3 linked regions of the Drosophila melanogaster genome follow. The protein of the gene in region 1 interacts with the protein of each later gene in a pairwise test. Each region holds a gene or a part of one and is shown in the gene's direction. Other genes may lie near its edges. The genes, in order: Xrp1, CG10365 and Nost.

The links.
Region 2: the proteins of Xrp1 (region 1) and CG10365 interact in a two-hybrid assay, tested with the Drosophila melanogaster proteins (one large-scale study listed by BioGRID).
Region 3: the proteins of Xrp1 (region 1) and Nost interact in a two-hybrid assay, tested with the Drosophila melanogaster proteins (one large-scale study listed by BioGRID).

Annotation. Positions count from the first base shown.
Region 1 is NT_033777.3:18,913,010-18,918,467, forward strand, and holds the start of Xrp1 (Xrp1), read left to right. Parts: upstream 1-1,958; 5' UTR 1,959-2,916; intron 2,917-5,250; exon of another isoform or gene 5,251-5,458.
Region 2 is NT_033777.3:23,721,026-23,726,756, forward strand, and holds the start of CG10365 (uncharacterized protein), read left to right. Parts: upstream 1-2,305; 5' UTR 2,306-2,633; exon of another isoform or gene 2,634-2,704; intron 2,705-5,731. Other genes in the region: CG10232 (uncharacterized protein), read right to left, coding at 1-152, 336-399.
Region 3 is NC_004354.4:9,027,847-9,033,444, forward strand, and holds the start of Nost (nostrin), read left to right. Parts: upstream 1-2,358; 5' UTR 2,359-3,023; coding exon 3,024-3,050; intron 3,051-5,598.

The DNA of each region.
Region 1 (5,458 bases):
CCCAGTTCCAGTTTTAATCTCATCAACACAACAAATGCTCAGCGGGAGCGCGCCTAGGTACATTCACTTTGCCCGACTTTCTTTGGGAGCGGTTTGACTACAGTCAACACACCATACAGAGAACTAAAGTGTGAGGGTACTGTACAGTCATACGATTAAAGAATCATCATAAATATCAGTGAGATATATCTGAACAGTATAAAAAACAGCACTTCCACAAAAAAAATGTTTCATTTGAAATTTAAAATGCTTTAAAAACACTTTACATTTATAAACCATTAAAACACAGCCAATGAGCTGTTATAAAACATATGTACATTTAACTAGTATATATTCAACTGTATTGTATTGTAACATTTTGTGTACTTTGGTAAATTATAACCCGCCATATAATAATAAGCAGTATTCTTTTGTGACAGACATGGAAATAGATTTAAATCACCAAGAGTTTGGTTTGCATGACTCTGGCCATTAGGTGATCAACACGTTGTACTTTCTGATTTTATCTTGCGCCATGGAGAAGATAAAAGCAGGAACAGTGTCGCCAAATGGAACCACGTCAGGGTGTCAAGGCCAATCGCAAAGTGCAATGCGATTGTATGTTTTGAAAAATTATAAATCTACAAAACAAATGTTCGTTCTGCTTGTTTAGGCTTTTCTGTGTCGAAATGCGCAGTTTCTTCCAGCGACTAAAGAGTTTTCACATTGGGTGAGCTCATCTTATGTAAGTGGACAACCCCCAAAATGAATCATCGGCCGGCTAATTTAAGCCAGCCAGCCAGCTACAGTTTAAGCCACCCCCTTTTTGCCCTGCACCGGTGTGAAAATTTCGCCCAACATGTTTAACAACACTATGAGTTTTCCAAAAGTTGTGGCAACATGTTGCCAAGAGATTTTCGCAGTCTCTGGCAACAAGCCAACAATACGAATCAGCTGGGCCAGACTAAAACAGCTGTTGCAACGTGTGGCAAGTGTTGCATCAGCCAATCTCAACCAGCGAGAGAGAGTTTCACTCACGTGGAGAGAAAGAGTGCGAATCTGTATTGTTTGTTGTTGCTGCATGGCAGGCTGCCAAACCAGTTGCCCTATACCTTTTGGAGCGGACATAGGTGACATATGTAACCATAAATACTTACATTTACATTAAAAATCCTGTGAATGATCATATGAATATAAATGAATATTTAGGCGCGAAAAAATACGCAAAGTATTGAACTATACTTAAGTTTCGCGGCTTTTTATTAAATACCAGTTTATTAACCCTTTGTGAGCAAACATAGTTGCTATTACTTACAACCTTAATATCTACGTTTCTAAATTATCTGGGTGCAGAGTAAAATTTATTCTTTTTTTTTAGCTTCTCTTATCTATTGTAGCCAATTTAGACCGAAATGCTATCTGTGCAATTTTCAGACTGTCGCTAGCCAAATAATATGAACGGCTATGAATAATCTGTCTGCGTTTTGCACAGTTTATTGAAAATATATATATTTTTTGTTATATTAACTTAACTGTGTTGTATGTAATACTTTGCCTCAAGTTAATAGCACATGGAAATTTTTTTTTTTCAGAACTTAAATCAGTTGATGCTAATGCATTGTTTACACCTTTTTCAGCTGCTTTCAACCAGCTAAGGGTTTTAGAGTAGAGTAGTATCTAAGAAGTAGAGGCACCCACTTATCCGAGTGGCCCATCCTCCGCATCACAAAAATAATGAGAGAAAAAGATCCCCGCGTGGAAATGTTTTGGGGGCACGGCCATAGAAAATAGACACAGCAGCTGAGAGAGCGCGTGTGTGTGAATATATGTGAATATATATTGGTGGTGGGGAAAGGGTATATGGACGGAGCGGTGAATGAAACCGGCAACGACGTCAGCAAAATTATATCAACCCCGGCCAGCGGCTGCCGTCCAGTGCTCGCAGTTGAGTCAGTTAGTAACAATACTTCGTCGCGAACAGAACAACAATTCAGTGAGTCAAGGCAAACGACAGAGCTTTCGGTGTGCAAATCAGCGTGGAATTTGTGAAATTTTCGATACGTGTTTTAGAATCCCATCTTAATGGCATCAAACGCTGAACCTCGTTACAAAGATATCCTATTCATAGAACAGTAATTTCTTTTCGTGTAAAACGTACCAGATAAACTCAACTTTGAGTGCAAAGTTCAGAGTGATTAACAGCCTGAAAAACATTTGCGAGAGACGCAATAAATTGGCGAAAATTAAACAAACAATTTCTATATATACTTCGTATCTCGGTATCTCAGATAACAGTTGTATCTAGATGCTATATAGATAAGCGCTTGTGAACACGAACACTTGACGAGTACATTAAGCATACGCCCGATCTACACAAGTGGTATCACTGAAGCAACAGCTGACCGTACCAAAAAAAAAAAAGAAAAAAAAAGAGAAAAACACTTCAAAGGCATTTTGCCCCAATATTATGTTCGTTCTGCCTGCGGTTGGTGCAACACTAACAGCAACAGCAGTGTCGAGAAAAAGCGGGAAATCCAACATCGCGTCGCCTAAGAACGTCATGCAACATTCGCCTGTCGTTGTCTTCATGTGTGTGCAACATTCGCAGCAGCAGGTTCCCATGCTCAACAACTTTATGTGTATGCGTATGCGCGGCTGGCATAACAATAAGTTTTATTGCAACAATTCAATCAATATCGAGACCTCCACGATCGGCACCGGCACTGGTGGCACTACGGGCACTAAGATCCTACGACGCTCCAAGTTGCTACGAAAGAAGCGTGACTTTAACCGCCGTCGCTTTAGTCGCCGCACTTTCTTTTGAAACCGATTCGAATAAGTCAAATAGTCACCGGAGATAAGGAGCAACAAGGATCAAGATCATATTAGTGCCGTCATCATTGGAACCTGCTCAACGTGGCAGCAACATGATGGAGGGTAAGCAACTACTGGCCACATTTCTCATTTTCCCAAAGCCAGCAACATTTGTTGCCACAACTTTGTTGCTGGCGGTGTCATTGACACTGGGTACACTTCACGTCGAGTATACATAGATAGATGAGGCCACCTACCTATAGGCCTATAGTAATCGTGAACTTTTGTAGGGCGTTGTTTTGATAGGTGTTTTGATTACATGTGAAAACGTGACGCTTAAAATAATAAATTTATATGGGGTTTCTAAACCGGATTCTGTCTTATATCTTATTCTATATTATTAGTTAAGTAACTAGTCTTAAATTTTGTATCTTTAGGATGATTACTAAATAATTAATAATGGTGACCTGTTGAGTTACAGACATTCATGCATATATGGTAGGGAAGATACAAAAATCTTTGGCTTTACTAATTTAAAACTTTAGAGACTGAGCACACCGAAACAGCTTAAAAAAACACATTTTTGGATATGCCAGACAACTGCTTGTTGCAAAAAATCACTTTAAACTTAGTCATACACTTTTAGCTACCACCACACTATATTGTATGTACATATGTAGATCACGTTTCAGATAAAAGTGATAAGATAAGATAATCAAATCGAACAAGGAAGGGGCTTTGTAGATCAATTGCTATTCATCTACACATGCAAAACGCCCTACCTTTCCATTCCCATTTCGTGGAATCGAAAAATGCGCACTCATCGTGAAAAGATTGAACGAATCGCTACGTGTTGGCCATTTATTTTGTTAATTTGCCAACTGAGGGCGTCCATTGTTGATGGTCGTCTTCGATATTCCAAGAGCTCGTGCCAGTCGGTGCGCTGCGCAAGATTGTCGTTTGAAAGTCACATATTTTTGCACGCATATGTGGACTGGCATTTAAGCTCCTCAGCTTTGGGGGCTAAAATCAGAGGACGTGGGCAAATAATCAAAATGACCCCCCCCCCCCTTGGTTATATTGTATTTGTGTCTGCAGATCAGGCCCATTACAAATATCACATGATGACAGTTTTTGCCAACCGCTGAAGCTCATTTTGCGCTTTATATTTATCAGCATGACTCATGGATTTCTAAATTATCAGTTAAAGCTGTTATACATACATGCATACGTACGTACGCAGAGCTTTTCGATTTCGAGAATTCAACAGCTTTTATCTGAGCACACATTCAAAGAGAGCTTACTAATACCACGACAAGAAAGCTCTTCTCTTCAAATGTGGGCGAATGAGCTGTACGAAAGAGAAAGAACGTGAAGAAATTTCCCAAGTTCACATCTCAACGATTTTTGGATTGTCGTGGGGTTCACAGTCTATTATTTTTAAAGGCCAAACAATCTAGAAAATGAATGCATTTGCTCTGAAATTTAAAAGACTTCCAACTAAATCACTCCCTTGGGCTAATGCATACATACATACATACATACAGATGCGTACATATATTATTATTTAGTATAACCATGCATTCTCATGCCTCGTTCTTTTGTGTTTTTAATTTTGTTTAAAGTTCTTGACCCAAAGAATATAAGATCCCAAAACAAAATGATCTTGAAAAGTTATTTTTTCAATGAAAAAACTTCTGCAATATTTTATTAATGCTAAGGGTATGCATGCAAAGTATTAGAATTACCTCAAGTTATTATAATTTCTTATGAACTATAAGTCTAAGATAGCTTAAGTACTTTGTGCAAAAAATTTCTTGACAGTGTCAAATCTGTGCAAACTTGGAAACTTAGTTGTTTTTCTCGTTCATTGTTAATAGTTTTGTTATTATTTTTTTACATATTGATGAAAAAACCTATGAATAAATAGATATTAATAAAAAAAATTCATTAATTTTAAAAAGAGGTCTTTATATATTTTTGCATTGAAAGTCAAAAATACAATTTATTTTCATTGTGCAAAATGTATGTATCTAATTATTTAATAGAAATGATATTGTGATAGGTCGGTCCACCCAAGCAAACGATTATGACTCATGCCTATAATATATCTCACTCATGAATACTTAGTCTCACTAAAATGTACTTTGCAATGTTTGGTTCGGTAAAGTACATACTTACATACAAATATGAAAAACACCGGCCGGCTGTGACAAAGAGCCTCCAACTTGTAGCTCATATGAAAATAGTATATGCCGGGGAAATTTTATAAAAGCAGGCCATCTGGCGGCAACAGGGAATTTTAGCGCTCTCTTGCTTGCTCACAGCGAACGCTTATCTGAAATACACCGACACACACCGATAGGGAAAAGTATCTGGCTATGGCAAACTGGTTTGTGGGAGCTTTTTGAATTTCACAACGAATGAAATTCACAGTGCACAGCAAATCCAACAGTTTCATTTCTGTTCGCCACTAGCAGCCGTTCAAAACGTAGTGAATACTCCAAGCAGTCGGTTGACTCAGAGATCGCACAGTGAAGTTAGTTCTATAAAATACATATAGAATACATATAACCAAGGAAACCCAGTGTAAAGACTTGGCAATCGTTGTTGTTCATCGCGGAACAATAACAGTGGACATTTGTCGCTATCCCAGAAAGTAATC
Region 2 (5,731 bases), 4.8 Mb from region 1:
ATAACCACATTGTTTGTCCCGCAATATTGCTTCTCTGGCCCAACTTATATCCGCCGATTGCAGAAAGTATTTCAAGGGTGGGCATGCTTTAAGGTGTGTACAGTCCTCATTGACATCACACTTTTTCCATGAATTGTAAACCTGCAACTGAACTGAACAAAATATGATCCGTGAAATACATACGTGTACAGAATATAAAAAAAATGGCTATTTGTGCGACTTTGTGTTTCTTGCCACGCACATTTTGAACTTCATTGAACTCTTAAAATGATTATGATAATGATAATGATGACTGAAAAGCAAATTATTTCAACACTATTATTAATTATTCGTACCACGCCCAAATGACAGCGACAGTAGAAACCCTTGTATAAGAAAGCAAACAGATACTTCGACCATGTCAATATGTGGACGTTCAAACTTCGACTGTTCTTAGGATGAAAGTTTGACCATTAGCCAAAATGTATCATATTATAAATTCTGGGAAATATAGCTGGGTATATCCGTATATCCATTAGTCATATGAAATATCTAGAACTGGACTGGAATGGCAAGTTATTTCGATAATTTGAAATACATAAATTTTCACTAAGTGTGTGTTAATAATATATGGTCAATTATCACTCTGAATTATTAATAAGCAAATAGCCAAATTGTATTGGAAAGCAATATGATGACTTAATTTAAAAACTTTTCACTTTTTATGTACGCAACTTATAAGTATGCGTATGATCTAAGAGCAGTGCCGGATTGAACTAACTCGGATTTCAGACGCTGTCTGCTTACGAACCCCTGATCGCTGAGAAAGAGTAAAAAAATTATTCGAAAACTTAGGATTTAAGAGTGTGAGACTATGTCACTGTTTGTATTTATTATTTCAAATCCGTCGGTTATCTATCCATAAAGTAATTATACATAAATCAAAACCAAGATGTTATTTTCTTATATATATTTTGCTTTATTTTTGTTTGCCGTAATTTATTATAATTTCTTATCGAAAATGGATTGTTCCTACGCTACGGATGACTACTAATAATATTTTATTGTATTTGTTTTACGATTTGTTTACAATTTGTATAATAATATTTAAGATCCCACACATAGAGGGCGAGTTTCAAGACGTATGGAAAGCATAGTCAACAGATGGCGCTCTAAAATCTTTATTTGGATAGCCGGCAACGTCACAATTTTTTTTCAAAATATCTGGCGGTTGAATGAAACTTTTATTAATTAAGGCATTTTACCTGCGAAACGTTAAGAATATATGTATACATAAATAAAAAAAATTAAATTATATATGACCACATTAAGGTAATGTTTTAATTTCTTTTTATAGTTGCCCATTCACGTTTGCGCTTTTGTTTTTCTGATACAAGGGATATGCGTGAAAAGTCCGCACTAGTTTCACAGCTTTTAACTGACGCAATTTCAACGAAATTTAGTGCATGATCTTATCAGACGTACATAGTATGTGCGTGTCTATTTTTACCAAGGTAACATCTGAACTGGAGGTTGTTTTTTTGCCATCAGTCAGCAGCTTGGCAATCAAGACTGCGACACATCACTTTCCAATTAGAGCAATTAAGATCGAAGTTCTCCAATTGCACCTGTTGTTCAGTTTGTCTGTTGCCTGGTGGCAATGTGCTTTTGCATGTCGTGCTTTCCATTCATAAAATCGAGCTGCATGCGGCAACGGTGCGTATGAATTACGTCAGCCAATGGATGTTTGTGGGTTTGTGGAGCATTCGCCATTGAGAGTGGAGATGCGTAACTTCCCGTCTCCTCTCTGCGCGTTGAGAGCGCTTCAGAAGGTGTAGAGACAGAAAGAGAGAGAGAGAGAGTGGGGCAGCATCAAGGAGCTTCAATATCAAAACTACACCGTACAAAAATAATAAGTAAGTCTATTTAGTTTTATTTTATTAGTTTTATTTAACCAAAAAAAAAATCGTGCGCAATTACTTTTAATTTACATTGGTATTCAAAAAATATATACACATTATGCTCTTAAATTACATATGAATATTAGAAAATGTCAACATTTTCTTCAGTGTTATTTGTTGAACATCAATGTCCTTTGTGTTCTTCAAATATTAAATACTTATCGTTAATAATATATGTATGTATATACATACGTACATATTTATGTATGTATGTACTTTTGCCAGGACTGGTTTGTAAAGAAATCAGTAATTATTTTACCGTTTATGCTCGCTCAGCGAAATTCGCTGAAGAGTTGAAGATGGGGTGGGGAAGCGACGAACGGGAAGCTTGGAGCATTATTTGAGAGCGAAAAAACGGCGCAATTCTCGCACTTACATTGGAACCGTCGGTGGGGACGGTCGCACTGCTTCATCAGTCAGTCCGAAAGAGACACCGCGATAGTGTGCAAGTGAAAAGGCGCTTGTGTTATTGTTATTGTTTTCATTACAAGGCGCGCAACCGAGTGCGAAATGCTAGTGTTGTCGTTGCCCCGCTGAATGGCGCAACGGAATGAAAAAAGTGATAAAACCAGAAAACAAATCGAGTCAACAAAAGCGGAGTACAGTGCAAGAAACAGAAATTGATAAGCATAAAATTAATGAACCCTCGTAAACGCCACCGTTGCACTTTCGGAAGCGGTATTAAATGGACAGGTGGGCAATTGTGCATCAAATTGTTGCACTTGGAGAGATCGGATGTACGTGTGTACATACATAGCTGCTATGTAAGCTCATATGTGTGTCAGTGTGCCAAGTTGGGAGCTTTCAGTGTCAACACGTGCATATACTATCTCATTCGCTCCTATTTACCTTGCTGTTTATTTACAACACTTTGTTGCTGTAATTACTCTGCCTTATCGGTGTGTGTGTATGTGTGTTGTTGTTTCCTGCACTCCGTTATAATTCGCTCACTCTCTCGCTCTCGGCCTGTTCTCTCTTACTCACACCCTCATCCTCCCTCTCATTTAATTCAAAACGTATTTGAATTTATTTTCGTCTTTGCTTACTTTTCTTGTATTTACATTAAATACCTCAATTTATTGCCCAGTCACTGTGCATGCAATCCGTTGATGCAAATCACCAGAGCCTGAAAATGGTGAAAATGCATTTAGAAATCAGCAAAACAAGTGAAATTGCTACTCATATAAACATATCATTAAAGAAATGCCAATTTTAAACTGGCTTATGATATGAAAGTACCCTATACCCTATACTATTAATGCTAGTTAACTCTATCAGTAAGACTTCTAGTCTCAGTATTTGGCACGTACCTTGAACACCCGAAATTCGATGAATATTTCGAATTTCGGGTGTTTAGATTGCATTATTCATTCCGAAATTATTTAACTTTAATAGCATGCCTTTTTAGTTTTCCGCTTTGGTATACGTATTGTACGACGTGTAAATTCAATGAAATGAATGTGTTTACAAAAATAAAAATAAAAACTAAAGTAAATAAATGCAAAAAAAAAGGGGACTAAGTACAGCAAATATTGATTAAAACTGAACGTATTTACACTCAATCATTTACTTCTTCATCTTAGAGCACACTTCCTCTCAAATGCTGATTCTGATTGCTAAATATATCTTTGAATGCATGCAGCAAACATCATCATTAAAGTTAAATATAAGCTGTGTGCTTAAAAATAGTTTGTAGTTTTGAATAAACAAGACAAATCTGCGAATAAGAGAGCCACACGTGTATGTCCACCTAGCCAACAGGATTGGATAGTAAAATGCGCAAAAGAAAGTATTAAGAGGTCGGTTTTACGCGGTATCTTATTTTTGTGATTCTTCAAATTAGGCCAGATGTGTTAATTGATATATGCTGAAAAGTTGTTTACCTTTCAAGGCTTTTGTTCAACCGGACTGTCTGGCAAACTCTTTAATCTGCCGGTTGGCTGTAGCTCGCTCACACGTCTAATCTTCTCTATCGAGGGGGTGCCATACCGTACAGCCCCTTATCAGAGGCCTTTCGTCTCGAAACCCAAGTCGGAATGAACTCTTATCATTTTAGCAAAAAGTATATGGCGATAGCAAACGCCAACGCGCGATTGTAAATTACACACTCAAGTTTTTTCAGTCTGCTTGGTTATTTATCAATAAAATGTAGTCTAGGCCCTTGTCGAATAAATTTGATAATTTTCAGAGGGGCAAAAAGCAACAGATGGAGAATTATTAGCCACGTTTAGCGCACAATAAAATAAAATATATTTTTAATTGTTTAATTAGAAGTGTTAAGCCAAGTAGCCGGGTTTATTATTTTGTTTTCAAGTGCCTGTATGTATATGAATTCTATCAGGCACCAAAGTAAATTAATACTCAGAAGGCTTGTGTGTTTAATTTGATGTTAAAAGAGTTATAGATAATAATACGTAAGTAGTGTATGTAATTAATAAAATGACTAAGGATTTTTTATGAGAGTTTTTTTTAGAGGATTGAAAGCAATATGGAATTCAATAAAGAAATAAGTTTAAGGCGTCTGAATTTAAGTAACACTTATCTGGCTTAAAGAAACAAACGATGAAGACATGATAACATATTTAGAGGGCGTGTTATTAAGTAACATGCAGTTGTTTTGAATTAAGGCCGACTATTAAGAACTTTAGATCACCTAATTCAGTCCATTTAACACCCTGTCAATCTCAATTGTGATTATTCGCCGGGTGATGAAAGCTAAATGAGCGAATCACATATGAGATAAGCGAGACAAAAATTTAGTCAGCTGCACGTAAATTCCCATCCAAAAGTGCTAAGCCCTGATCCAAAAACGCCAGCTTTGCCCATCTGGATGGAGAATTCGTGTACGTGCATGTGTGTGTGTGTGAGTTCGTGTGCTTTGTTGATTTCGACGAATTTCAGTCTGCCGCCACCATGATACACTTTTATGCCCCCCTAAAAAACGTACACTCGTATGTTATGTACATTCTTCATACATACATCTACATGTGATATCAATGGGCTTAAGGCGTTCTATGTACATACATAGCTAACGGAGCCCAGAATTTGTGTGTGCTCTGCGCCTGTTACCCGAAGCAAACAAAAAAAAAATGTAACTTGCCCTCTTTCTGGGGAACTGCAGACCAACTACTATCCCACACTCATACACGACCGATAGGAACTATAGATTGCTGTATAAACAATTTTTGAGAAAAATTTGCTAACCTTGAACCGTTGGCAAAAAACTTTCACAATGAAAAAAGTTCAGTATCAAGGACCCAGAAATGTGTAGCGAGTCGATTTCGGAGCGTTTTTCATATGGCAAACGAGCAGTGGCCAACGCTGCGTATACGTAACCAAGTTGTGTGGTGCAAAGAAAAGTCTCATGTGAACGTGTGTGTGTGTGTGTGTGCTTGTGCTTTTGAGGATGTTAAATATCGTAAGCATCTACATATGTATATGTATGTGTGCATGGGGATGTGCGTTTAAGGTTTTTGAACTTGTTTTCGGTAATTTTCCACCATCCAGCCTGTTTTTGGGTCAATTTATTTATGCTAAAATATATCGAAACCCGAAGAAGAAGATAAAATGATTAAAAATACACCAGCAAATATAAAAATCCAACAAAAAATACTGGTATTTAGAAACAGCGTATGAAAACAGAAAGCTCACAACTACTTAGAAATTCCTTCGGCATTTCGGAAAGGCGGCAATCAAAACAAAGTGTGCAAAATGTTTAAGTTTATTCATATATGTACCTAATACATATGCATGAGTATAAGTGCTACACGCGAAATAAAATAGCTAAAAAT
Region 3 (5,598 bases), on another chromosome or scaffold:
TGATGATGATGAATTAGTAGAAAGTTAATACTGACGAGGGCTAAAATGCAGAAAATGGCTAGCCAAGTGTCACAGCTGTTCGGAGAACAACCGGGTCCAAGCCAAAACTATGGATATCCAGAATATCCACTAAAAAACACAAGGATACACCACACACACACATAGACACAGAGAAACAGGATAACACTAAATGGAAACACTTACTGCATGATGTGTACATAGGAACAACATAGATGCTATATATATATGCGAGTATATATAAAAACATATATATATATATAGACATACATATATAGTATATATTTTTTTCGAATTGTTTAAGTGCAACTTTTGAACAAAATATGGAAAAATGAAACGCAAGTCTTATGAAATCCTAGCAAGTAAGGCAAACCAAAATTGTAAAGGTCAAGATACAGAAATGGATGGAGGAACGATATACCTAAAAACAATGCCTAACTGTACGATAGTAAGCATACTATATACACATATATATATACATATATTGATAAAGTAATAAAGCGGCATAAATGTGTAAAAGTAATCTATTTATTTACACCGACAACCCTGTAAATACACAAATTCTGTGCAATTTTCTATCGACTCCCGCAAAACCCCGCGTTTTAATTCAATCCTCGCCCAAATCGAAACTTTGAACAGACAACGACTTTGGATTCTCCCTTCCACCTGGATATACACTATATATACATACATATATATATACATACATACATTTAATTATTAACTTACGCAAGTCTGAAAGTATTTCTATCGAAGAGTTCTAAACTGCTTAACTGTAAAGTGTACATACATATACCGAATTACAAACACTCACAGATCCTATAAACTATATTTATAGATGTAAGAAAAAGCACACTATTGATAACCATCCCCATCACTGTATGTATATGCCTATTTAATATATATATATATATATATATATATATCTACTTTTTTTGAATTAGTCACTAAGCATAGACAACATGAATTACTAAGTACGATATGCACTGCAAGCACTGAGGAATTTGATTCAATTTTACTTAAGACAAACGAAAAGAGAAATTGAAATAGCATTTAGCAAACCTAACGGAAAATCAAAAAAAAAAAAACAGAATTAAATAAGAGAATCTCCAATTTCTGGGATAATAATTACAAATTTAATATTAATTTTTCGAGCTACATCGGATGAGAAATACCGACGAAAAAAAAAAACTGTATTCGCTTGTGGCAATTGTGTGGGAAAGTCGAGAACGTTTAGCATCTGGATTGGCTATGCAGCATTCGTATGTTATATACTTAGAAACCCGAAAACCACAGATACACACACACACCCACGAATATTAAATAGATGTACAATAGTTATATAGACTCATTCGCATCGATCCTTTAAGCCATAGTCTATCCTGTTAAGCTCTCAAACAAAATTGTAATTTTCGGAACCGCAAAAAACGAACCCCAAACGCTCAGCTACGAGTTTCTGTTTAAAATCCAAGTGCAACTTTCAAAGAATTGTAAAAAAAAAAAAAATATCAATAACACTTTACGCTAGCGAATCCCAACAATATTTGGACAAACGATCGAAATCATCCACAAAATTGCTTATAATATGAATTTTCTGACTCTCTCCTAAGGGAAAATAAAAATTTTTTTTGGTATTTCAAACTCAACAACATTGCGTTTTTCTTTTATGGCATAGTTTTGGGCTTTCTCACCTACAAGTAAAGTCAAATTCAGATGAGTCACGGCTTGTAAGGTAACTAAATAAGTTATTAGAATATTGTAATCACAGCATTTAGACGGAAATCGAAATAAGTCATAAGGGTAAGTTCGAAAGATGCAAATTTATGCATCTGCATTCCATAACTTTGAAGTCATCGTAAGCCAAGCTTAAACGAGCTTTAAAACGTACACAAAGCTTGTCCAATTGGCTGCAACTTTTTTTTAACAATAAATAAATTTTTAAAAATTAAATCTTTTTATCTAAAATTGTCTGAATGTCAGCTGACTTCAATCAGTTGAATATATGTTCTTTATGCATTTTCATTTCATATTTTTCTTTATCATATTCTATTCACCGAGTGGAAGATTTCCCTGCAGGTTTGTTGTTTTTTTTTTTAGCCACATAAGTCAGTAAATCAGCCCACTGTACCCACTGTGCCGCTCCACAAAGAGCGTTCAGCGTTGAGCGGAGAGCGTTTAGAAAGCGCCAGCGACCGGCGATTGCAATTGCCACCGCTCACGGAGAGCGGCGAGCGGCGTTTGCGATTGCGATTGCCATTGGGATTGGGATTTGTTGTAGCGTGGATCGCGGAGTCGGAGTCAAAAGCTAAAAGCCAGATTCAGTTGGCGGCGCAGACTCGACTCGTTTAGTTCGCCGTTTCGTAGAAGAGCGACGAGAGCGCATGCGGCTTTTCCAGCGCGGTTTTTCCACCAAAACTTCGGCGACCTGTGTACTATTATTTATATTTTTATTACATTTTTTTTTATTGTTTTTTCTTTCTACCTGCGAACGCTTTGCTCGCCTTGAACTGGAGTGCTTCGTTTTTGAGTAGTGCATCTCTGCCTTTTGCTGGCGAGTGCTACAATTGTCGCACGTAATCGTGCTGGCAGTTACGCCTCAGAAAGCAGCCAAAAAAAAAAGAAAAAAAAACGCAGATACAAGATACAAAAGTATCTCGAACACATGCGTTACGCTCAGCTGACTCGTCGTGTGTGTGAGTGTATCGTAGTGTCGTTGTGTGTGTGTGCTAACAAATTGGTTAGATAAATTAAACAAAAACTGTGAAATTCGCGAATCAAAAAAAAAAAAAAAACAAAAGTAAAATAAAAGTTACACAAACGAAATACGCGAAGGAAAAGCGACGAGCTGAAACTGAAAGCAAACAATCAGCCGGGCTGACCAGTAGTAAATGCTTTAAACTTCAATTATAAAATTTAAATTGAAAAAAATAAAAAAAACACATATAGTTCACAATACCGCATCATAATATCCTACCCGCATCCTAACCCCCGCCGCTGGCCAAAATATGTCACAATTCCGCGATAATTCATGGGTGAGTTGCGATCGAGTTCAGTTCGGTTTGGCTTGAGATTTGGCACTAATTACCGACTAACTACTGCACACGTATCCACAGTGATACTCGCACTCTATCCTGCACTCAAAACTAATCCAAATTGCACAATTATCCAACACAATTTCTCTCCCTATCCTCATTTGTCCATTGCCCAACGCCCCCTCTCGACATCTTCTTAATTGGTCCAAATCGTTAATTAACCTGTGTGGCCATCTGTAAACCGATTGGCCAATTGGCACCATGCATCTCTCGGCCTGACCCGATTTTTTTAAATTTCGCAGCTCGCCAAGTGCCGATCCATCGATTGGTGGAATTGCACTGGCAATCAAAGTTGATAATTAGGGGAATTTTGACGATTTCTTCAATCATTTTGATGTTTAGTATTTGAGATACATTCACTAGTTCTTTGATGGCTTATTACCTTAAACTGCTTTTGAACTTTAAGAAAGTTACAAATATTCGTTTTAACTTACTATAACTTTATAAGTTTAATGAACAGAAAATATAGAACTTTCCACATTTATAGACAAGCAATTATAATATCATTTTCGATATAAAAAACATTATTATTAGGGGTGTTTTTTTTCGAGTGCATTTGCATTTGTGCCGACTGGCAATTGACTTGGAACTGAGAATTTTGACAGCTTCCGAAGCTTCGCATGCAGCGAATTACCTTGGCTTTATCAGCGGAATAACGGTGTCGAGGTCACTCGAAATAACCTAATCAAATTGGTTGGTTTTTTTAAATTTTAATTTTTTATTTTTTTTTAATAGGAGTGCGTCGTTCGCTTTGGCGAACGAAAGTCGAACAGTTTTTGAATAAATTAGTGCGATGCAAAACACGCAGGTTAAGCGGGTCAAACGGCAATGTTGATAGGCATGGGATGAAATTTATAGATCGACTTATTCGAAGTGCTGTGCAACCCGTTTATCTCGAACGATTTATCTGCGAAATATCTGGCCAAGATGGTAAAAAAAAAAAACAAAAAAAACTACTGCGGCAAGTGGTATTGCAAGATATGCAAAATTGTGGTTAAGTAAAGTAGTAAATTATCAATACTTTGTATTTAGAGATATGAATTCACTACTTAAGATACTTTTTTTTCGATTTAGTTTCTCTATATGTTTGCTGACTTTCGAATTAAGCCGCAATTGCTTTGCATTTTTTTTATCTCTACTTGTGTCAAAGAGAAAAACACACACACCTACATTTACCGAGAAATTTCCCAACTTAATTTCTACATGCTATCTAGATCAAACATCATTTCCACACCTCGAGCGCCCTTTTTCTACAGCAATTGCATGATTTGAAGGTCGACGGAGCTTTCTTTTGTTTCTTTTGGAGTTAAAAAAAAAAAAAAACCGGTGAAACAAACAGTTAGGATTGCACTCAGCGAAAAGAGTTATCTAAATCCATAACTTGTTGATAAGAAGATAGTGGTTGTATTGTAGTAAAAAATAATCATATAAAAACTTGGTACATTTAGGCATGGTGAACTTTTGCACCACAGCAATTTCGCGTAGAATCGCATTCTTTTTTTTTAGAAGCCTTTGTTTCGCTTCGCTGTATTTTTGTTGTTTATGAATGTGAATGCGTTATCGTCGTATCTGCGTAACTGTAATCGCATTATGATCCATTAAAATGCGCCAGCTTTTTTGGCAGTTTTTTTTTTTGTGATAAGGTCTGCGGACACCCACCACCTAAGGCGCTCCCTCGTCTGGCAGCAAAAAAATGAAAATAAAAAATATCATAAAACCAATCAAAATCCAGTAAAATAAGAGAAAAACCAGTTGGCCTGGCCCAAGTCGATTGCGCAAATGTCGTGACTGACGTCGCGCCAACGATTATCATCTTCTTCTGGCTAAGATTGAGATTCGGACTGGGATTGGGATTGGGATTTGGGACTTGGGATGCTGCACCTGCACATCCAAAGTCTGGCGGCTGAAGTCTGCTTCCTGGTGGCAGCTTCAAGTTCAATTACGGCAGATTGTCGTGAAGGCATTGGCCATGGATTCACAACCATATCGATATACACAACCACAACCATATTCACATCCACATCCACATCCACATGTCCATGTTGGTCATCAGCAACTTTCACTCACCGGCTAAATGACGATGACGATGTGTGCCTCCTGCACATTTTGTCATCGTTTTTCATGTGGGAAAATCTCTCGCCTCTGCAAAAGATCCAAAGAAAAAAAGACCTAAACGATGGGGAAGTCGTGTGGAGGCTCGCTTTTATTTTTCCTTCTTTTTTATTCATGGAAGCTGCGCTTTTGGGCAGACATTGCAAAATAATTTCCACAACAAGTTGGGAAGGCCGTCGACGACAATGAACTTTTAATTACCCCAAAGACTCGTTTCGCAAAAAAAATAAAAACACATGGAGAAAAGTAAAGGGGGAGCACAAACCTCATTCAAATGAGGTTTGCGGAAGAAAAAGAAAAGAAATTTTCAAAGGAGGAAAAGTTACTTAGCTCTCCGTGATCATATGCAATTTAATGCCTGCCCAATTTGCTGCGG